Linked DNA regions of Kluyveromyces lactis. The protein of the gene in region 2 binds, or shares a complex with, the protein of the main gene of each other region. Links are inferred from orthologs where the notes say so. Each region holds a gene or a part of one and is shown on either strand. Other genes may lie near its edges. The genes, in order: ASH1, UME6, SAP30, SDS3, RXT3, KLLA0_E19933g and RPD3.

What was found.
Region 1: UME6 (region 2) and ASH1 share a complex: the UniProt entries of both Saccharomyces cerevisiae proteins name them as parts of the RPD3C(L) complex. The link is inferred for Kluyveromyces lactis from reciprocal best matches to the Saccharomyces cerevisiae genes UME6 and ASH1.
Region 3: UME6 (region 2) and SAP30 share a complex: the UniProt entries of both Saccharomyces cerevisiae proteins name them as parts of the RPD3C(L) complex. The link is inferred for Kluyveromyces lactis from reciprocal best matches to the Saccharomyces cerevisiae genes UME6 and SAP30.
Region 4: UME6 (region 2) and SDS3 share a complex: the UniProt entries of both Saccharomyces cerevisiae proteins name them as parts of the RPD3C(L) complex. The link is inferred for Kluyveromyces lactis from reciprocal best matches to the Saccharomyces cerevisiae genes UME6 and SDS3.
Region 5: UME6 (region 2) and RXT3 share a complex: the UniProt entries of both Saccharomyces cerevisiae proteins name them as parts of the RPD3C(L) complex. The link is inferred for Kluyveromyces lactis from reciprocal best matches to the Saccharomyces cerevisiae genes UME6 and RXT3.
Region 6: UME6 (region 2) and KLLA0_E19933g share a complex: the UniProt entries of both Saccharomyces cerevisiae proteins name them as parts of the RPD3C(L) complex. The link is inferred for Kluyveromyces lactis from reciprocal best matches to the Saccharomyces cerevisiae genes UME6 and DOT6.
Region 7: UME6 (region 2) and RPD3 share a complex: the UniProt entries of both Saccharomyces cerevisiae proteins name them as parts of the RPD3C(L) complex. The link is inferred for Kluyveromyces lactis from reciprocal best matches to the Saccharomyces cerevisiae genes UME6 and RPD3.

The regions. Positions count from the first base shown.
Region 1 is NC_006038.1:232,412-235,435, reverse strand, and holds ASH1 (DNA-binding transcription repressor ASH1), read right to left. Parts: upstream 1,884-3,024; coding exon 501-1,883; downstream 1-500. UniProt on the Saccharomyces cerevisiae protein: Component of the RPD3C(L) histone deacetylase complex (HDAC). Responsible for the deacetylation of lysine residues on the N-terminal part of the core histones (H2A, H2B, H3 and H4).
Region 2 is NC_006042.1:1,922,848-1,926,947, reverse strand, and holds UME6 (DNA-binding transcriptional regulator UME6), read right to left. Parts: upstream 2,801-4,100; coding exon 437-2,800; downstream 1-436. Other genes in the region: KLLA0_F20658g (uncharacterized protein), read right to left, coding at 3,849-4,100. UniProt on the Saccharomyces cerevisiae protein: Component of the RPD3C(L) histone deacetylase complex (HDAC) responsible for the deacetylation of lysine residues on the N-terminal part of the core histones (H2A, H2B, H3 and H4).
Region 3 is NC_006041.1:986,123-988,448, forward strand, and holds SAP30 (Sap30p), read right to left. Parts: upstream 1,002-2,326; coding exon 501-1,001; downstream 1-500. Other genes in the region: CUE1 (Cue1p), read right to left, coding at 1-56; KLLA0_E11243g (putative endodeoxyribonuclease), read right to left, coding at 1,229-2,203. UniProt on the Saccharomyces cerevisiae protein: Component of the RPD3C(L) histone deacetylase complex (HDAC) responsible for the deacetylation of lysine residues on the N-terminal part of the core histones (H2A, H2B, H3 and H4).
Region 4 is NC_006041.1:774,585-777,194, reverse strand, and holds SDS3 (Sds3p), read left to right. Parts: upstream 1-1,150; coding exon 1,151-2,110; downstream 2,111-2,610. Other genes in the region: DNA-binding transcription factor CRZ1, read right to left, coding at 1-190; KTR5 (putative mannosyltransferase), read left to right, coding at 2,545-2,610. UniProt on the Saccharomyces cerevisiae protein: Component of the RPD3C(L) histone deacetylase complex (HDAC) responsible for the deacetylation of lysine residues on the N-terminal part of the core histones (H2A, H2B, H3 and H4).
Region 5 is NC_006038.1:261,955-264,864, reverse strand, and holds RXT3 (Rxt3p), read left to right. Parts: upstream 1-1,444; coding exon 1,445-2,410; downstream 2,411-2,910. Other genes in the region: RPL31B (60S ribosomal protein eL31), read right to left, coding at 532-588. UniProt on the Saccharomyces cerevisiae protein: Component of the RPD3C(L) histone deacetylase complex (HDAC) responsible for the deacetylation of lysine residues on the N-terminal part of the core histones (H2A, H2B, H3 and H4).
Region 6 is NC_006041.1:1,774,034-1,777,427, forward strand, and holds KLLA0_E19933g (SANT/Myb-like DNA-binding domain-containing protein), read right to left. Parts: upstream 2,253-3,394; coding exon 501-2,252; downstream 1-500. Other genes in the region: KLLA0_E19955g (3'-5'-exodeoxyribonuclease), read left to right, coding at 3,184-3,394. UniProt on the Saccharomyces cerevisiae protein: Component of the RPD3 histone deacetylase complex RPD3C(L) responsible for the deacetylation of lysine residues on the N-terminal part of the core histones (H2A, H2B, H3 and H4).
Region 7 is NC_006041.1:185,677-188,919, reverse strand, and holds RPD3 (histone deacetylase RPD3), read left to right. Parts: upstream 1-1,444; coding exon 1,445-2,743; downstream 2,744-3,243. Other genes in the region: PEX6 (AAA family ATPase peroxin 6), read left to right, coding at 1-1,106; lumazine synthase RIB4, read left to right, coding at 3,229-3,243. UniProt on the Saccharomyces cerevisiae protein: Catalytic component of the RPD3 histone deacetylase (HDAC) complexes RPD3C(L) and RPD3C(S) responsible for the deacetylation of lysine residues on the N-terminal part of the core histones (H2A, H2B, H3 and H4).

The DNA.
Region 1 (3,024 bases), on a different chromosome or scaffold from region 2:
ATATTAAAGCAAAACGAAAGCAAGTGATGAGATATTGACGGTTCCAGTTATTTATATTTTTGATGAAGTTTTTTTTTTTTTTTTTTTTTTTTTTTTTCATTTTCAGATAGCGAACATACATCGATCTTGACGTAAATGGCATATTAATGAAAAGAAAGAAAAAATCATTCACTTTATGAAGAGGTCTGAAGCAGCTACTAAGTGCCAGTCATCAATATCAACCTATGATATTGATGCTCAAAGATCAGAAGTGTGAAAATATTAATTTACGCTACATTAGATAAATTATAGGAAGAATATATGTTTAGATTATATCATTATATTAATCAAATTAGTTAGAATTGAAGGGAAAGGGAATAGTGGAAATATTATCCGGACAAACAAGGGAAAAGAGAAGTAAGTATTTATAAATGCAATATTAGAAGGTAAAAAGCTCCGTTGAAAGTTGGGATCAGTTAATTATGCAAGGAAGGTTGGTTTTTTTATCAGGCTTTTCTGCCCTATTCGTCAGTAGCAACGGCGTGACCGCAGAACAAACATGCTATTTTGTAATCAGTATTTCCGTCAGCGTCCTCAATCGAAACTGGCTTGTTTGATTTCATAAGTGTCAATTCACCTTTTGAAGGTATTTTACGGCAAGTTTCATTGGTGCATCTTGTATGGGTCTTCTTATAACGGAGCCCACAAGAATTACAAAGCTGATCTTGTTTGCTTTTAGACCAAGAAGGTCTCCAACACGGGGAATCTGTAATGTGACATGAAACGCAAAATCTATGAGAGTTACGCCTTTGTGTTGGAGAGCTTTTGGGAGATGTTTGGACTAGCTCTTGGTCGGTGTCGTCTTCTGAGTTGGAGTTCGCCGAAGTCTTTTCGCCGAAATCCTCCACGCTGTTGATCACAATAGGATGAAATCTCTGTTGGGGAGATTGAAGAGATTTTGGAGTTGTGGATAGTGTAATCTTCTTTTGTGGAGGGGTCTTTGGTGGTGCAGGATTAGCCTTAAATACCGACTTTTGTGATTCGAATTTGTCTTCATATGTAAGCAATATGCGTTGATCCAGCATCTTCTTCAGTTTTCTTGCTTTAAAACTGTTGGTCTTCTTATGTTTTGAGGAACGGTTCTTCTTTACCGCTTTAACTAATGATTCGCTGATCATAGAAGTGAATTGTCTGGGAGGACTACTTGGTGGGGTTACCAGTACTTTGCTGGAGCTTGAAGTGTTTGAAAGTTGATAGAATTCATCTGGTGAAGTATTGATCGATGATATTCTAGCAGCATCGGCTAAAATATTTAATCCATGAGTAAAATTACCAGCTCTTGGATTAGCTTGAGATACCTGATCTGTAATGTTTTGGTACTGAGTGTAATTAGTTTCCTTACACCACTCTGTTAAGTTTTGCCTCCATAGAGGCGTGGAGGCACAAGTGTCTGGATAGAGGTACGAAAACTCTTGTATTTTAGGATGTGCCAATAACTTTAGATGCTTTAATGGTTGTAGTGCTGGTTGCGAGGGTTGCGCAACCTCATTCTGTAGTTGTGAACAGGAAGGCAGTTGAGTTGATTTTCCAATATTGTTACTGCTGTTGCTGCTAATGCTGCTTCCCTCACATACTGTCTGTCTCCATATGGAAGAATTAGATGAAGCGGACACTGGTGATGTAGTAGGCGTGATTTGTACGAATCCAGAAGGTGAGGCTGGCGCCGTTTTAGATTTTTTCCGGGCGTCAAAGAAATATGGCGATTCTTCTAATGTCATTGGGGCGTTCAAACTGGTACTTAAAGATGGCAATAATAGATCATCAAAGGATCTTTTTCTTCTTGCGTAGAACTTTTGCTCGGCGTGAGGATTGGTGAATGGTAAAGGGTTCGAAATAGTGGACATCGTTAGCTTGAATAGTGAAAAGGTCGAAGCGATGGGAAATGAGCTGATTCGATGCTCTATAATGGGGAACAAGTTACGGTGTTAATTGAAGTAAATTATTGATGTGTAACACAGTTGTCAGGACCAGTGTTTGAAGAGTGAAGAAATATATCAGGCCTTATAAGGATTAGCTAGAACTGTCATATATCAACCACGATACCTAATTCAGTAAAAATAAGGGGATTATCTTTCCAATCGATCTGAAAGAATTGTCCCATGGAAACCCAGATTTGGATTCTGGTTTATATACTCTAGGGATACTGAACCAATTTCAATCAGTTCAGTCCCGCAAACTTAGTAGGAATCCATATATCGATGAAACAGAAAAAAGTGTAAACAAAGAATACCTGCGCCAAACCCGCAGAGGGTTTACCGAATTTTTTTCGATTTGGCAAAAGAATTCATACTTGTTCTATGCCTGCAAAACTAAAGGGAAAGACAAAAGATATACTTCTTTTTCTCTTACCGGCTATAAAATTGATCAAAACTAGTCAACCATTGTTTACAAAATCATATATCATGTAATGGAATCGCGCAGCGATGTTCACTTAGCTTTCAGATCTCTGTTTATGTTTATTTTTCCACACCAAGTCTTGGTATCTGTTCGGCTGGTATTATGGATTTACATTTCGATGCTGGGTTTTTCATGTTTACACTTTCTTCACATATGCAAGCAGAAAATAGAATTTAAAAAAAAAAGAATACTAGTGCGCGAGGCAGCTTGACAAAAGTGCTGGCAAAAGAGACATAAGGAAAAGAAAAATCCGACTCTACAATATGTACGCTAGATATTTGCTCGAGTCGATCAGCATTTAGAGTTGTGTTTGCATGTGTTCATTTGAGAGATTTTGAAATCAGGGTCTACCTAAAATCATCAAGGAAATTACAACGCGTACATATATTGTTTGTTACCCGCATTTGATGAAGCTAGTCAATTGAATTTACCCAAGATGAAATTTGGAGAGAAGAAGACTTCTTTCCATAGATTTAATAATAAAATTTTTGATCGATGTTGAAATTAATAGTATTAAGGTAAACGTTATCAAAGCCTTCAATAAAAATCAGCAAATCTCTTTAAAGCATCATCAACTGATATTATCAA
Region 2 (4,100 bases):
ACGACACTTTTTTAAATTTTATCTTAATTATTCCAAATTTTGGTTGTAATGTATGTGTCTATATTTTGTATGTTCTTTTATTTTATCTTATTTTATTTTGTTGATCCTCATATCATCTCAATCCTCCTTTGAAAGCAGCATAAAGTTTAAATATTGAACTACGTTGTCTTTTGAAATCATTTCCATACTATTCCCTAAGCTTTGTGCTTAAAATACGTACAATTCATACATTGTATATTAAAGTCAGTCTACACATTTATTACAGCAAATATATCTGAGTATATTATATATTGGGAGGTGAACATAATCATAAAAGTTCAGTCAAAAATGGTATCTATAGAGTTTTGAGGGGTTGTCCATTATTGTAAAAAAACTGAGAACACCTGATGATACAGATGTGTGTCTGAGAAGAATTTAGAGATGATTGTCTCTTTGATTATAACCAAGTCTTCTTTTTCATTGCTTGTCTCTTAGCTTCTTTTGTTTTCTTTTTAATTTCTTCGAGTTTTGCTGCCTTTTTAGCAGGATCTGAAATAAAATCGGGTTTTACTATGTCGTAAAAGCATTCGAGGTGCAACCTCACGCAGTTCTGGCATTGCGGTTTCTCTTCTGTACATTTCTTCTTACGCAATCTACAGATCCAGCAGCCAGTTCTTGACCGTGCCCCCGTAGCATTTCTTTTCTTTATTTGATCACTTGATTTGACCATTTGCTCGTTAGAAACATCATTATTGTAATTAGATTCTTTAAACTTCAGTTGTTTGGCATGTTTGGAATTCGGTGACAATAATCCAGTGTGTTCAGTAGATAATGATGAAGACCTTGATCTTTTTATATGCATACCATTTTCCGAGATATCCGCAGCGGGGTATGCCGTAGTATCTGGATGGTCTCCAATCTCATTTTTAATTCCTGTCAATTGAGATTGATAATGTGGTGGGCCTGATCTTCTTCTGGACAATCTTCTTTTTCCATTCTTATTCCATGCAACAGTTTCTGGTGCCTTTGATCCCCCTTCGGTCATTTCGTAATCACCATCGCCATACCCGTCATCATCATCATCCTCTTCTTCCATTATAACGAGTTCATCCTGGTTGCCAGTCAATGGTCGTTGGTTAACCCGAAGCACTGGCTTAGGTAAAAGTCTTTTGGAGAACGGATTAAAGGCATTATTTTGGAGAGATTGGTTTGATAATGACGAATTCGGTCGGCTATCATGATTGCCAGAGCCGAACTGTTCGTTAAATGGGGGTAATGGGGAAGACCTCATCTGAGAAATGATTGCGGCAGCTTCCGCATCCACGTTGGAATCTTGATCATTCAAAGTTGGGTTGACCATTGTGCTATTATATGGATACTTGTTAGCCGACTCTACTTTCGGAAAAGCGTTTGAGGATCCTAATAACACTCTATTCCTTAACTCATCGAATTTTGTGTTGAAATACTTCGGTTGGTAGGTAATATGTGTATTATTGTTATTACTGTTTGCTGTGCTACCGTTATTACTGCCACTACTATTACTGCCACTACTAGAATTACTGAAAGGACCATGAACCTGATCGGTTTCGAACATATAGGTTGGAGAAACAATTCTATTCATGGTAGATGAGACCTGCGGGTTTTGATTTTGATATTTTGGATGTAGGAAGGATCCTGTGGAGTGAGGAGGATTTGACGCTGCTGAGGATGGGAAATGAATAGTGTATTCATTTCCTGCCGTAGATGGAGGGGGCGAGATTGATTCTGCTGTCGATCTCGAGTTTAGTAATGAAGTAATATTGATCTTTTGAGCTGAAATTGATGAGATGCCTGCACCCGGATCTATTTTCTCTGTGGAACAATCAAAATGTAGTCTTTTTGGAGTCATGGCGCTTCCTGTGGCATGCAGATCTCTATCACGGGAAGCGCTCGAGGTCTCAAGGATCGGCGAAGATGAAGGCGCAGCAATACCGCTCGCACCGTCATGTGAAACAGTTCCAGGATTACCAATGTTTCTGCCATTGCCCTTTTTGCCTTCGAGTCTATGTCCGCTTTGTCGCAGCATGCGTTCATTTTGATGACTACCAGTATCAGCTTGAATTTCCTCGCCCTTTCTTGAATCGTGAAGTGTTTCTGTTTCACTCACTTGACCAGAGTCTATCCTATCGTTGAACAAATACACGGGAGTGCGCGAGTCTTGATATAAGGTGCTACTCCCTTTCCCAGTGTTCGGCAGCGTATTGCTACTGGATATACAGATAGATGGTGTACGCGTATTTATTTTTGGAACATGTTGTTTATCAGCCGAAACCACGTGATCAAAGTCTTGGGTACCCGTTTTTTTCTCAAATTTCACGGCAACCTCCTTTTCCTCTTGCTTAGTCTCTCCGTAACGAGGAAGTGGCGGCAAAACCTCGGTTTGAGGCTTTGTCCCTGGAATCCCGGAAGGCTCTCCACGTGAAGGAGAGATAACACCCTGTTGTAGATCGTTTTCCTCCACAGGCGTATTATTCGGAGCAGCAGTAGGAGACATCGCTAAATGTATCAAGGGGTTGAGCCTTGGTGTATGTCGCAGCAGCGTTTGTTTTTCACCTGTTTTCACTCGTTGTTGTTTTTCGTTTTCTTGTTTTTCATCAATTTTGGTCACTTCCCGCTGGGCGGTTAGCTCCACTTGGGCGGCGTTTGTTTTTGAATGTTCGTCAGGGTAACTTGGCGGGGTACTTTTCTCCGGCACATGCATTTTGGAAGATAACGGAGAAGAGGAGGATAAACGAACAGAGTTCACAGCACGCCGCTCAATTTGACTTTTCTGACGAACCATCTATTCCGAAGGTTCTTTTATATTTGAAGAAAACTTCAGTCTAAGTTTCAGGCCAGCGCTTAGCGCCAAGAGTTTGTGTTACTCTTGAGTTAAAAAAAAACCGATTCTCTCCTCACCCCCTTATAAGACTCTTGAAACTAAACACAATCAGGTATTAAGCCAGGAGCTACGGAATGAGCGGGTTCGTAATTAGTAAGAGAGATTGAACCAGAAGCCTGTCAATTCATAGAGGATCGCGGTTTCAATGAATGTAAGCATTCATAAAGAATAAAAAAATAAAGTAGAGTATATTACAATAAACTAAAACAAGTAAGAGAAATCAAACATTTGTAAAATTCGATTTATATAAATAAATAAACAACGCCTTGGATGTGATTTTCGAACGAGATTCAATTAGGCGTTTTTTTGCCTTTTTTTGAGCGAAAAACTACAGGAAAACAAGCGCAGAAAACGAATCAGAAGGGAGAAAAGGGAAGAAAAAAGGGAACGGCAATGGTACTAGCCATCTAAGCAAGCTCATTGACCTTGCTTTGCTTCTCGGTTTTTTGTTTTTAGTAGGATATCTGAAGTTTGTAAGGTGCACTGCTGTTATACAGTAGCTGATTACATATGTAGCCCGCTAAGATGGTGGGTTTCTTTAATTACCCGTGGGAATAATTTTTGACTGTTTTTGACTTTTCTTATCCATTGGGCGTATCGCTTGACGAAAATTGTCTTGAAACTATTTTACACGCTGGAAAGGGAGAAAAAGATTTGAAAAGAGTAAAGACCATGTATTACCCGGTCATAATCAGTTGTTCCGGCTTAGTAACTTTTGGGCCCAAAGTCTTAATCGATTCAGGCCAAATATAAAGAGTTTTGACGGGAAACTAGAGTAAAATCGATCTAAAGTGAGATAAACTACTTTTGTTAATGTAGTATGGTATTTATAAAAATTAAATTATTGATGATACTTATCATATGGATTTGCTAATATACATTTGTTCCAGATAAGTTGTAGATTAAAAATAATTAAAAAGCACCGCTTATTCCTGCATCTTTTCAACTTTCAGATAGTCTTCTCGTCGTTGTGAAAAGTATTCATTCTGGAGAAGGAAGTAGTGTATTGTTCGAACGGATCGTGCACTGCTCTCTTTTCTAAATCATTTTCTGGATTGTCGACTCTGTCCTTGATGCCGAAGTAATGTCTCTTACCATATTTGTATAATTCAACGCCTGCCCAGAATGCGAAACTAAATCCGATTGCGAATCCCCATTCGTAACTGATATTGTAATGTAAGAACACTTTGTCGTTGATTAC
Region 3 (2,326 bases), on a different chromosome or scaffold from region 2:
GCAATATAACCGGCAATAGCCAAAATGATAAATAATGTGAAACTTTGATCCGCCATGATTAAAGTTTTAATTCAGATACTCTATCTAACACAATAATTTCTGTCTGCTCTCAATATATTGCTGTGATATTAATTATTCTGGAGACAGGAAAACACAGTATGCCTGGTTATGGAGCAAATACTTGTCTTGTTACAGTTTTTACTTGTGAATGATAATTAATATCATTCATTTCTTATTAAAGAGAAAAATTGTGTAAACGACCTGTAAAGGAAAAAAATGTTAAAGAGCAGAAGGACGTGTGTACAGCTTGCTGTGCAATCTGTCCTTTTCACTGCAGTGCATATAATCAGCGTATAGAACGCTAGTTCCAAATAGATTTCCGTTGATATCCTTGATTATTACGTTCTATATTATTCATATATGTTACAAATAGATGAAGCCATTAGGCTGATGTCGAATTACATGCCCAAGATGGAAGTGAGCTATGCAACACCACCGCTTCATCCCTTAAACTCCATTCTGAACTTCTTTTTCTGATTTTGTACTTTGTAAATAAACTGAGGAAGGCATTCCGCTTCTCGAACGGTATAGTTATCGAAGTGTTCCCTGACACCTTTCGCAAGCTCCTGCTTCGTAACCCTTGCATCTGGTACATTTTTCTGGTTTCGTTTCGCCGAGTAAGTATGTTTCCCAATCCTTGATCCTAGAAGGTACCCTTGTATTGATAGATTATCTGGAGATTTCAATTGGAACCTATCCTTATACCGCCTTAAAAATTCATCGGAGTATTGTTCGAAATCCATCGGATTTGGGAGCGGCTCATTCTTCGGATGATTGTTATGTATATGTTTCTTGTTCAAGTCCTTCAAGTATTGCTGTTGAGCACTCGAGAGTCTTTGTTTCACACTGGTCCTGGTCGATGCACCTGAAGTTGCATTGTTCGATGATTTGCCCTTAGATTCGGACTCTGAATTTGAGTTATTGTGTCCCCTTGGTGCCATGTCGTGTAAGATCCTTGTGACTGTACAGCACCCACTCTATTTGACACCTGAGATGGTATGGAGCAGTACATGGTAATGCCCTTTACCACCTGGACAAATGTTCAAAAAGATCAAAATTTTGTACTTAAGACACTTTTTTTTCTTAGATAAGTGGGAATAACTTGGAATTAGATATAGAGGATGACTACATTAAACAAAGAACATACATGCAGTCCCTGCGTCTCATCTCATTTACGTAAGAATCTATTGAAGTTTTGTAATACCGTGTCCATCGCCTTAGTCCTGGAAATGCCGTGAGCTCTTGAAATGGCGTCAAGAACGGAATCTAGCATCTGTCGTTGCTCTTGCGACGACACTGAATCCACAGAACAATCTGTCTCTGTCAAAATACACTGCAAGGGCAAACTCTTCAACAGCTCAGCACCAGAATCCCAGTCTTTCAAGTTGATCCAACACGAAACGCTAAAGAAAAGCCGTTCATGTGGGAAATTCGCCAGCCATAGCCGCACCGTATCCAATGTCCCAGTAAACGAGTGCAAACATATGTTCACCTCGCTATCCAATAATATTCTCTTGCAAATATCAAAAGTAGTACCTTGACATTTCACAGAATGGATCGAAACCGGCAACCCCCTTCCCTTTGCAACTTTTAATAACGTTTCAAATACCTGGATCTGATGTGCAAACTCTACCCTTACATTGCTTAAACTACTTCTTTCCAACGATGTCCCATTATTGCTCACGAGAAAGCCATTCTGAGGCAACCGAAAAACCTTGTCCAATCCGATCTCGCCAATACAACCCACACGAGAAACCCGCTCATCTGACAAGTAACTTGACAAATCTACTGGATCCGGCAATTGCTCTACCAATTCCATCAACTGTACCTCGTCTTTACATTTAAGACAATTCCTATAATGCCCTACCTTAGAAAGCGACCTATCTAACTGATATAAATGGCAATACCAGGGATGCACACCAAGACTAACATTGATTCCGGGACCTTCATCATCCAGTTGTTTCATTAGCAGCAGGGGCTCCAGTAATTCCCAGTCGTACACATTCGTGCTCATGACACACCGTTGGACATCACTTGCCGTTCCGGCAAGGGCCAGGTCCAAATTGCTTCTGATCTTATCGCATCCTACAGCATCCACCATAGTAGACACATGGCAATGTGCATCGACAAGACATGGAACCATTCTTGCCCCACAAAACCAAGCCCAATTACCACTCACCTGATAGCAGACTGGAACCCTAATTCCATAGCAATTGCCTTAATTGTCCCAATTCACCAATATGTTCCAAAGGTATACTTTTTGAAT
Region 4 (2,610 bases), on a different chromosome or scaffold from region 2:
CCTTAAAACCTGACAGTATATCACCACCGAAGTCAGACAGCTTGACACCACATTTCCTACTATTATTCATCGCATTGAAACCAGGCGCAACCTTCGACCCTCGAGAATTGTCAGAATCTTCCGGATTTAACAGTACATTCGCACCGATGTCACTGGGACTATCGACATTCAAATAATCGTCAATATCCATACTGTTCTCTCAGTCAAAAAAAAAAACAACAAAAACAACTCGGAATACAAGTCTCAAAGTCAGGTAATATTATATCCAAAGGGGAAACCAATATGTTTTTCGAAAACTCTGTTCTCTGTTCTTTCTTTCCTATGAACTGGAAAGACTGAAAAGAAGAGCTTTATAAAATCGACACACTTATAACGTCGAAATTTAAAGTATTAGAATATTAGGGGTAGTTCAAAGCACCGCAAAATTCAGCGATTTATCTGTACTAATAACACACAACACTGATGTGTATCACAGGCTGCGTACCACTGTTTTATCTCTGAATTAGTCTCACTATTTCACTTCTATTCACCTAACAAAAAAAAAATCACATCGTCATTATATTATAACTTAACTTACTTTTTTTTTTTTTGGGAATTTTCCCTTTTCTTTACCAAAATTGCCAAAAGTTCAAAGCCTTTAAAAACTTTCAACACACTTAAAGCCTGCACTTATACCGGCCAGCTTTAAGCTTTTCTTATCTGAAGCTGCGACTTTTCTGCGGGGAAATGAGATGGAAAACGGAACATAAAAAATTTAAAAAAGAAAATGGTGATACTTGCAATGAATAAATCAGTGTTATGGGAGCATTGAGGTTCGAACGGCAGAAGCATGGCATTTTCTTGTTTGTCTCATTTGATTATTATTATTTTTTTTTTTTTTTTTTTAAATCAGAGCAGCTTAAGCAGTTGTACTTTGTACATACTTTATACATAATTTGTACATAATTTGTACCCAGCTCATACGTTGCACGATACATGTAACGAGCAGCACATTAACTCGTTGTGTTAACGTTTTCAATTGTAATTTTTTATTCTGTGTTAGTAATTTCACAGGATAATTGGTAAGAAACGATACCGGAGAGTTTTTCTGGTTTCACTTTAACAATTATATCAGCTTTTGCAGTAAATACAGCTTCTCCCCCCGAGGAACATGGATGAAGTACAATATTCTATGATGAGCAGCGGTGTGAAGAAAGGTCAAGGAGCGAAACAGAATGGGGGTGCTATTCCCGCAGGTGTTGGGCAGGATTTGAGTAGGAAGGATAAGAAGCGATTACAGTTTGAAGGGAAAGTGGGAAAGATAAGAACGTCGTTTGCAAAGGATAAAGATGTGCATTATAGGGATAGGTTGACTCTGTTACAGACAGATTTAACGACGCTGCATCAGGGGAATAACCCTGAATTTCTGAGGAAATTGAGGGATCTTGAAGAAGATAGGGATTTGGAATTAGTTAGGCTCAGGCTTTTCGAAGAGTACCGGATTTACAGGTCCAAAGTAGAGTTCCAAGAAGATATTGAAAAAGCCAAGCAAGAACATGAAAGGATGATCAAATTGTGCAAAGAGATGTTGTATGAATCCCTACAGAAAACTATCAAGAAATTGCAAGAGGAACGGCTACTTCTGGATGTAGCAAACACACAGTCTTATTCGATGGATTATTCTCGAGGGAAATTCCAGAAGCAGACTAGAAGCTCAACTCAAAATTCAGCCAATTTTTCGGCTTGGGATTCGTCACCGAACGATGTCAGCCAAACAGAAAGTGGCAATGAGACTGGTAATACTACCGATAGGAGGTCATTGCGTAGGCGTGCTGCTACTAATCAGAATAGAGCTCAAACTCCTGCAAACATTACACCTGCAAACGGAAGCGGGAAATCAAGCAATACTAATAGCGATGCAGAGTCGATGCAATATCTGAGCGATTCATCAGAATTACAGGCTTTATTGTTCGGAAAGGAAAAGGAAAAGGAAAAGAAGATGGGTCGAGGTCACCAAAGACTTTCGACAAAAAGCGCTCCTATTCTTCAATCTTTAACTCCGGATGAGGTTACTGATGATATATCTTTGATAAGAAAGCTAACGGGCCAAGTACCAGCCCCATTCAAATGAATATCAATAGTTGGATTTATCTTGTAAATCTGGTCTGGGGTACAAGTGAAGAAACTAAAATGTTACCAGTTTTTTTTTTCTGTCATCCAATATTTCCCAAACTGCTTAGGTCCCAAATACTATCCGTTATTGTCAGTCTTATACCTTGTATTTTTAGTGTATCTCATGTGTAATACTACTACTTTATAATACTGCGTATTTTTTAATGTATGCACAAAAAAGTGAACAGAATCTGAATTTTGATATTTCAGTTATCTATTGACGATGATTTATGCGCAATACGCGATCCATTTATAAACATAAACTCAACAGTCGATTAAAGTACCAAGAATATTAGTATAAAACCTCATTCTTTCATCTTCAACTATTGGGACGTACACATTCATCTTTTCCACTTTTTTTTGCATGATTACTGATAGTTTCCATCTTATCTCATGAGGAATAGAACCAGAAAGCTACTGATAGTGATAACAATTGCACTTCTAATTTGTGTTGGTGTA
Region 5 (2,910 bases), on a different chromosome or scaffold from region 2:
AGTAAAAAATTGGATCTCATATTATTCGAATTACCAAATGGTGGGAGCAATTGGAAAATACCTGTTCAAGATACTGTACTGTTAAGATGTTGGAAAAAAAAAGGAACATTGATCATAAGTAAAATACAGTGCGTATTCACCGATAATGTCGTCTCTTAATCGCCTGTTTCACTCGGATAAAAATCAATCATCAATATTCAAATTATTTCACATTGATAAACAAATAACCCATCTTTTCAACATTATATTCCAGAAACAAACTTAGCGTTTTCACAAGGACGTATAGCATGGTGTATATTTTCTCCACATTCTAATGATATCAAAATAAACTAAATAGACTTCATCTCCGGTCTTTAATATCCACATATTCTCCCAAAGTATCTCCATTGTGTGCAAACTTACATGCAATGTTGCATTCAAATACAGTATATGATCTTTAAACTCCCCTTCTCATTGCTCTTATCCACTTTGGTATCTATTGTGTAATTTCACTTCGAAATTTTGTTTCATCATTGGTAAAAGCTAACATACTCTTTTGTGCATGTTGATGGTGTATTCACGAGTAACGACGTCTTTCAAACCGGCCATTTTGTATTCGATAGTTCCTCAGTGTACTGCTTCGTTCTTCTCTATTAAGAACCAACACACAAATCAAATAAACAGTATCGTAAACGCCTATTAACATTCAGAAACCTCTAATTTCACCACTTACAATATAGCTTATTTCTCAGTATCCAAATAATATTTCATCGAAAATCAACACTTTCTCTCTGGTACTGGAGGGAATAGACTAGGCACTAGGCTGGAGCAAGGCAGCCAGTGGTGGGTGAAACGCCTAGTATGTCCAAACCTGGCTGGGTGGCTGCCCAGGCTGGTTCCAGTAGACGGAGGAATGCCTGCACTCTGGACAAGGAATGGTTGCCGGCTGGGGTGTAGAGCTAGAAAGGTGAATTGGCATCCTAGGCAGAGTGGGTAAACCTGTCATCGGAGGCCGCCGGGCGTTGTCAAGCGAGGTTCCTCAGGCCTGTATCATTGCTTCCCACACACAACATGTCCTAGAAATGTTTGTGTCATTCGAAGTGCGAAATGCGGAATGAAAGTTTCCTATTATAGAAAATGAAAACATAAAACTATTTTACATCAGAGTGCACGGATGTTACAGTGGAACAAATGAAGCCTCACGAATGTACGGATGTTATAACAGTCCCGTATATAGACTATTATGGTCAAACTGGTGATGAATGTTGTTAATGAAAGAATCTCCATCTGTACATCGAATACACAGTGAATTCATAATATAAATCGAGAGAAATTTACTCCTGAGCAGGGTCGATTGATACATTATTACAAGCTGAGAACTTCGCAGTGGCTCAATTGATTAGTTGCCGATTGTATAGCTGGTAAAACTTTGATTTATTCAACAGCTTTCAGCCACTGTTTGAATATGAGTGATGAGTTGTACAGAAAAACCCAAAACAGGATATACAGCATGCAAGAGACACTGCTGAATAGTTCTAGGGAGTCCAAACAGGCCCGAGATCAGGATACGGGTAAAATCGGATCATCATCATCAGAAGAAGCAGTTGCTGCACCGGCTAATACACAGAATGTTGCAGATGAAAGTTCCCAAACAGGGGAACCTGAAAACAACACTACCCTTGAAACTGCAGCTCCAGACAGCAAACCTGAAGATGACGAAGACGAAATAGACGTAAACTCTAAATCTGTCCTTGAATATACAGAGAAGAATTACGCACTACAGCGGCGCCCTTTGGCCACCTTGGAGTACGACTCCATGAGAGTTGGTGTTTTTCCTGGGGATCCGAAATTGGAAGCCCTTCCATTCCCTTATAATTTCAAGACCATCAGATCTCCGAGACCTTTTATTCCAAGGATGTCTCATAACCATATCAACTCAATCCTTACAATACAGATCGATTCCATATATTTACAACAAGTGGCCCGTAGTGAGAACATACGGTACCAAAACCGAGAGATATGGGGCACAGATATATATACCGACGATTCGGATATTATATTAGTACTTCAACACTGTGGAGTTTTGCCATTTTCTGAACCATTGGATCAAAACAGCAATGGCAAGCCATCCAATGTTCACTCTTTGAAAACTAAATTGAGAAGAACTCCTACAAATATGTCGGACCAAAATAGTGTGACAGGAGCAATCCCAGAACGTGAAATTCCATTTGCGATCAAAGTGGACATCCTAATGTTACCACCTCTTCAAGGTTATGCGTCATCCACGAGAAATAATATCACATCCAGAGAATGGACAGGGCAAGTCCATGACGGTTTGTCGTTCGGAATTTTCCATGTTGATATTGTGGTGATGGACAACACATTAAATGAGATACAACAATCTGACAAGACTAAGTCACTAAAGTGGTAACGCTGCATCAAGAAAAAGGCCAGCAGCCGGTATCTTCCGTCCCCCAATATATTTTCTTTCGTCATGTGTCTCGTACAAGTGACGAGAAAGTTGACTTAAATCGGTTATGTGCAAGCCGTGCGTACTGCATCGATGCGTGCCGAAAAGAATATGTACATTTGTATATGTAAAAGCGTTGTGTATAGATTACTCAACAATGTAATATCATAATAATAACTACCATTATCTCCACTGCCATGCAAACCTTCTAAACATAGAGGTCTGATATATATGCTATTTTATACGTCCCTGCAACCTTCTTTTAAATTGGTTGAAGGTTCCTTCTATTCTTTTAGTGACATTCAATAAGATTAATAATTGGGAAAAAGATTTGAAAAGACCGACCATAAGAGAAGTGTTCGAGACGTTAACGGCTACAAAGTGACCCATAAGACCCTGAATCTTGTTTCTTGGTATACTTAAAGATTAGGTTAGAGTAAGGGTCTCACTGATTCTAACTT
Region 6 (3,394 bases), on a different chromosome or scaffold from region 2:
AGAAGAAAACTGATAATAGTGTAATATCTAATATATGCATGTATATATGTATATGATTGTAAGAATAGCGAAAATTAATGCCATCATTGATATAGCAGTAAAATGTAAATAACAAAACAACGTAATAGTACGCACTTTTCATTTAAGTGTTTATGCAAAAGGAGCAGCCCGTGTCCCTTTGCTATAATAAACTGAATAGGGACATTATTATGACAAAAAATAACCATATGGTACAGTTCAAATGATTTGGCATAAAGATAACACTGTAACAGTATTATTGATGTTCTATTGTAGTTATAGTACTTGTACAATGGGGTCATAATCAGGAAAGTGTGTGCGTTTATGTGATAGTAAATCAACGACAATGATGATTGAAGTAGCAGCGACTGGCGCCACGATACACTTCGGGGTTCATGTTCATACATGTCTGAAAGTGGTTTGTAAAGTAGTTTTTTAAGTTTTTGGTTCTTGATAATGGTATTAATACAGACAGTTTATCATCAAACAATGTGCTTGAATATCGTATTCAAACTAGGCAGTGGCTGAGTTGGCACTTGCGGTAGTCGATGGTTTTGTGGTGGTTGAGGAGATTGCGATGAATTCGGAGTGAACTGGGGCGTTTGTTCATTACTAGCCTGTGTTTGAAGAATTTGCTTCGGTACGCTGGCAGGCATCCTATTGCCATAAAAAGATGAGTTGTTCACATCAGAAATAGTTGGAGAATGGTCTCTCAAGGAATGAGCGTCCGGTGAAAACACTGGCGATCTCTCACGAGCGGAAGAACCAGTCGAAGATGTTTGAGAAAACGTAGGAGATTCATCTCTTAGCTGAGTTGGGGCAATAGAGTCTTCCATGCGGCCAACAATCTCTACATCAACATCAACATCGTCAATGTCGTCATGCTCCTCTACGGCAGTATCTGGTGAGTAAGTAGAGTGGACCTCATCTGAAGAACTCGATTGATTAACATTGGCGGAAGGACTAGCAGTACTAACTGCATCGCTAGGCGTTATATGTAACGAATCCATTCTCCATTGGATCTCTTGTTCTGATCTATGAGGTAACAAGATTGAAAGCTCATCAATGGACAAGTGGTACCTTTGACGTTTTTCTACCAACAACTTATCCTCATCGCCAGACCAAGGTTTTGCAAAGCCATTGAATGATCCAACGGCACATACGGATGAAGGAGGGGGTTGAGAGCTTTGTTTTATGGGCATATCAATGAAACCTGCTTGCATAGACTCACGTCTAAACTGAGAGACAGAGTTCCTTCTAGACATAGATGGATTCGTCGTGAAGCTTTCTCTCCTTGGATTCGCGGAAGATGCGGGCAAAGTTGATGAAGGCATGACAACAACGGAAGATCTTCTAGAAGATCCGTTAGAAGACATTGGGATGAAATGCCTGTCGGATGCTACGTTGAAAGAGGAACGTCTGGAGCGCGAGGAGAAGGAATTTTTCCTTGATTTCGTACTGGCCAGGTTTGGCAAGTTCGATTGTGGAGTGTTATTCACAACGACCGCGGAACCACGTCTACTCTTGATGAAGACTTTTGGAATAAAACCAAAATTTTCCTCTTGATCATTGAAATGGGGCATATTTGGTGGGGCGTCCTGTGAATGAGAGGAAGACCTGGGCTTTATAAATTTCCCATGAGGAGCAGGAGAAGCAGTAGAGAACGGAGACTTGGACAACGATCCGGAATGTGCAAGTCCGTTTACCGATAGGACACTAGATCCAGCTGTAGCAGCAGATGACGAAAAAACACCCATGTTGCTATTGTTATTATTAGTAGCACTCCCACTACCATTCAACCCATGAGGTGACGAAAGAACGGCACTATTGGTAACTTTTGAGGTCGGAATTGGCATGGGCATGGGCATCGGTCCCGTAGAACTAGACTTCTTTGCCGTATTCTTCTTCGCCGTCGAAGAGGACCCAGTGTTTAAAGATTCCGCGCTCAACGTAGGTCCTGCAGAAACAGCCATTGGAGCAAGTACTGGAACAGTCACATTTAACAACTCATCCTCCTCCTCATCCTCCTCCTCTGGCGACTTCACCGTCTTTAAACTGCCAGATTTTAACCTTCTCCACCGAAATTGGCACGCGTTAGGAGTTCTATTCGTAAAATACTGAGCAATATCCTTCCATCCCAGTCTTTTCACCTCTTTCAAGTGTCGCAACAAGACATCGTCCTGAGGTTCCCACGAACTCGGAGTCCTACTGGAAACGTTTTTTGGTGCAGTCATCTACCCTTTCACTTAAAAATATTGTGAGTTATAATTGTAAAGTATCAGCAACCAAAACAAAATCCACTATTTAGAGCAGTAAAACCAAAATTCAGCTCAAAAATTTTCGAAATGTAATCAAAACGACAGTAACAGCTTTCTAATAGCTCTAATTCTCTAGCTCAAAGACCTGTTCTCATTAACACAACGAGAGGGAATAAAAATTTTGAACGGTCCAAAATAAAACCGACAGTAGTTTATGAACGATTTTTCTTTTTAAACAACAAAAAATCGCCTTAAATTCCTTCCAAAATCGGCTAACAATAAACTAACGTATTGACAGTTATGCTCTGAGTCGATATCACTGAGGTCAGACTGAGTACTGAACCAATAAAGACAGGTTTCTGCCTAGGAAACAAAGAGTGTCAAGTTAAATGACAAGACTCGATGAGGTCGAGTTTAGTGGCTTTTTCTTCGTCGCGATGAGTTGGAAAAAAAAAAAATTTCGAATTTTTTCAGTGTGACAGCGATGAGATGAGGTGACAGGTGAGATGAGAAGAGATGAGATGTGATGTGAGTATACTGAGTGAGGGTCCTGTATCTTACCGTTCACGTGTCTTTTTTTGTTTTTTTCGTCTGTGTACTTCTTGCAAATGGGGTTCCCCGGTTGGTTTGGGACTGGTGCGTTAGTCTACGCCTTCGGAAAGCTATTGCAGTAGTGTGTAGAATGTGTCAAAATAAGCTTATGGGAGGTAGGGGGATGCACTCCGGGAGGTGATAAGTGCGTTGGTAGGCCATTGGATAGGCTTCGGAAGATACCCATTACACGATATTTTTGGACATCGTGTGGCATGTACGGTCTGTGAATGTTTCCATGCGGACTTGAGTCACAGAGTGGAGCTTAACCTTACATCCGGGTAACACTCGAAAATTCTGTACAAGCCATCTCACGATGCGCAAGAGGATATGCAACTCATCCCACTTCAGAACGATAAAAGGACTTCCTGTTTGTTTGGCATATTTTCGGTTCATTATGGCCATTGTATATCACTGTGAAACAGCTTCTACACTGTATATGTCCAGAGCACTTCAGAAGATGACAGGTTTGAAACAGATAAGGTACTTTGACATTGGGTTCAATATCTCTGATCACATGTTCAAAG
Region 7 (3,243 bases), on a different chromosome or scaffold from region 2:
CATTGCAGACAGTATCTGTTCAATCGGCTGGTTTGACTCCAATGGATATACGATCAATCGTCAAAGCTGTCAAGTACAAATGTTACCAACGTCTAAAGCAGAACGACCTTCTAATTGATATGACCGATATAACTGCAGTCATAAATATTGCAAGAGATAGATTCTCAGACTCTATCGGAGCTCCTAAAATTCCTAACGTGACTTGGGATGATATTGGTGGGATGGATGTGGTCAAAGGAGAAATCATGGATACCATAGATATGCCACTCAAGCACCCTGAACTATTTTCATCTGGTATGAAAAAGAGAAGTGGTATTCTTTTCTATGGACCTCCTGGGACTGGTAAAACCTTGTTAGCGAAGGCAATTGCGTCTAACTTCTCTTTAAATTTTTTCAGTGTTAAAGGGCCTGAACTTCTTAACATGTACATTGGTGAATCCGAGGCAAATGTTAGACGTGTCTTCCAGAAAGCAAGAGATGCTAAGCCATGTGTCATTTTTTTCGATGAACTTGATTCCGTGGCACCAAAGAGAGGAAATCAGGGAGATTCTGGGGGTGTTATGGATCGTATTGTGTCTCAACTTTTGGCAGAACTAGACGGAATGAGTTCAGGAGGAGACGGAGTGTTCGTAATTGGAGCTACGAATAGGCCAGATCTTCTTGATGAAGCATTATTACGTCCCGGTAGGTTTGACAAGATGTTATATTTGGGGATATCAGATACCGATAAAAAACAGGCAAATATCATCAAGGCTTTGACGAGAAAGTTCACACTAGAATCTGGTATCGATATACTAGATATTGCCAAAAAATGTCCGTTCAACTATACAGGTGCAGATTTCTACGCATTGTGTTCTGATGCCCTTTTAAACGCTATGACTAGAGTTGCTGGTGAAGTTGATGAAAAGTGGGAGAAGTATAACATGGAAAATAAAAAGAATATATCATTGAGGTATTGGTTTGATAACGTGGCAAACGAGAATGACTTGAAGGTCGTGGTAAAATTACAAGACTTCGAGCTTGCTCAACAGAATCTAATACCAAGTGTTTCTGAGGATGAATTAAGACATTACTTGAGATTAAAGAGTAGTTTCGAATCTCAATGATCGTTAATAAGTAATCATATCGAATATTATTATAAATCATATATAACAAATATATTAACTCATCCATGCAGGATGATCTGGTCAGTAAAAAGTTGGTCTACTTCTTAATCTTCTTCAACTCGTGTAACATGACAGATCTCTTTAAGGCTTTTCTTCTTTCTTTAGCTGCTTGGAAATTCTATATTGATGGAGACGGTGAAAAATGAAGGTAGTGATTTCTATTAAAACCTTGATTTATGTCGAAAACATACCAAGAAAGCTATATAAACAAGAGGTGAAAAATTTGTACCGGCTCTCCAACTTAGCGAAACTATTAAGATTAATTGTGCGTGGACGGTATGGTATACGAAGCTAAACCTTTTGACCCGATAACGGTGAAGGCTAACGAGAAGAAGCGAGTTGCATACTTTTATGATGCTGATGTGGGAAACTATGCTTATGGTGCAGGACATCCTATGAAACCACATAGAATAAGAATGACACATTCGTTGATTATGAATTACGGTTTGTATAAGAAGATGGAAATTTACAGGGCTAAACCTGCAACGAAACAGGAGATGTGTCAGTTCCATACCGATGAATATATTGATTTCTTGTCTCGAGTCACTCCAGATAATTTAGATATGTTCCAAAAGGAGAGTGTGAAATTCAACGTTGGAGACGATTGTCCTGTGTTTGATGGTTTGTACGAGTACTGTAGTATATCTGGAGGTGGTTCTATGGAGGGTGCAGCCAGATTAAACCGAGGCAAATGTGATGTTGCCATTAACTATGCTGGTGGTTTACATCATGCCAAAAAATCGGAAGCTTCAGGGTTCTGTTACTTGAACGATATAGTGCTAGGTATCATCGAGTTGTTAAGGTACCATCCTCGTGTTCTTTATATTGATATTGATGTGCATCACGGTGATGGTGTAGAAGAAGCTTTTTATACTACGGATCGAGTTATGACATGTTCTTTCCATAAATATGGGGAATTCTTCCCAGGTACTGGTGAATTGAGAGATACTGGTGTCGGGAAAGGTAAATACTATGCTGTGAATGTCCCATTAAGGGACGGTATTGACGATGCCACTTACAAATCGGTATTTGAACCAGTCATAGGTAAAATTATGGAATGGTACCAACCTTCTGCCGTGGTACTCCAATGCGGTGGTGACTCTTTATCCGGCGATCGTTTAGGTTGTTTCAACCTTTCAATGAAGGGTCACGCAAACTGTGTCAACTACATGAAATCGTTCGGTGTTCCTCTCATGATTGTTGGTGGTGGTGGTTATACAATGCGAAACGTGGCTCGTACATGGGCTTTCGAAACGGGTATTCTGAATAATGTGATTTTGGATGAAGAACTTCCTTACAACGATTACTACGAATATTATGGCCCTGATTACAAATTGGATGTCAGACCATCTAATATGTATAACGTCAATACACCGGAGTATTTGGATAAAGTGCTACTTAATATTTTCAGCAATCTAGAGCATACTAAATATGCCCCAAGCGTTCAACTCAATCACGTTCCTCGCGATGCGGAGGACAAAGGTGACGCCGAAGAAGATACTGCAGCTGCGAAGGACACTAGAGGAGGTTCTCAGTATGCAAGAGACATAACCATTGAGAATGCAACCGAATTTTAGCCAGAAAACAAAAACAGATGATCTTTTATTATTTACTGTATTATAATATATTTACACTTAGAAGTACTCTTCCGCATTTGCTACAGGTTTTATCGTCACTCACCTAATCACTGTTATATGTCATTCATCCGACGGTTAATATGATGCTGAATATACAGATTGGTGCCCAAGTTAGAATTGATCTAATGAGGTCAATTTTCTATCGTGTTTTCCCTCCGTCAGTATCGGTATTTGCCATAATTTTCCACGTAATACTATTCCAGTTCAGATATGACTTACATCTGCACTTCGGTTGTCAGTAACAAATCTATATATGAAAAAGATCAAAAAATGAAAATCCAGAAGCGAATGGATATTTAAAAGTTAAGATCAGATAGGTCGATTACACAAGAATAAAGCTTATCCTATTTCATATAGAGATATATATTATCTGATAGTAGATACGTTGTATCTAAACATTCAAATCACAGTTAGTAAATTTTGCAATGGCTGTTAAAGGT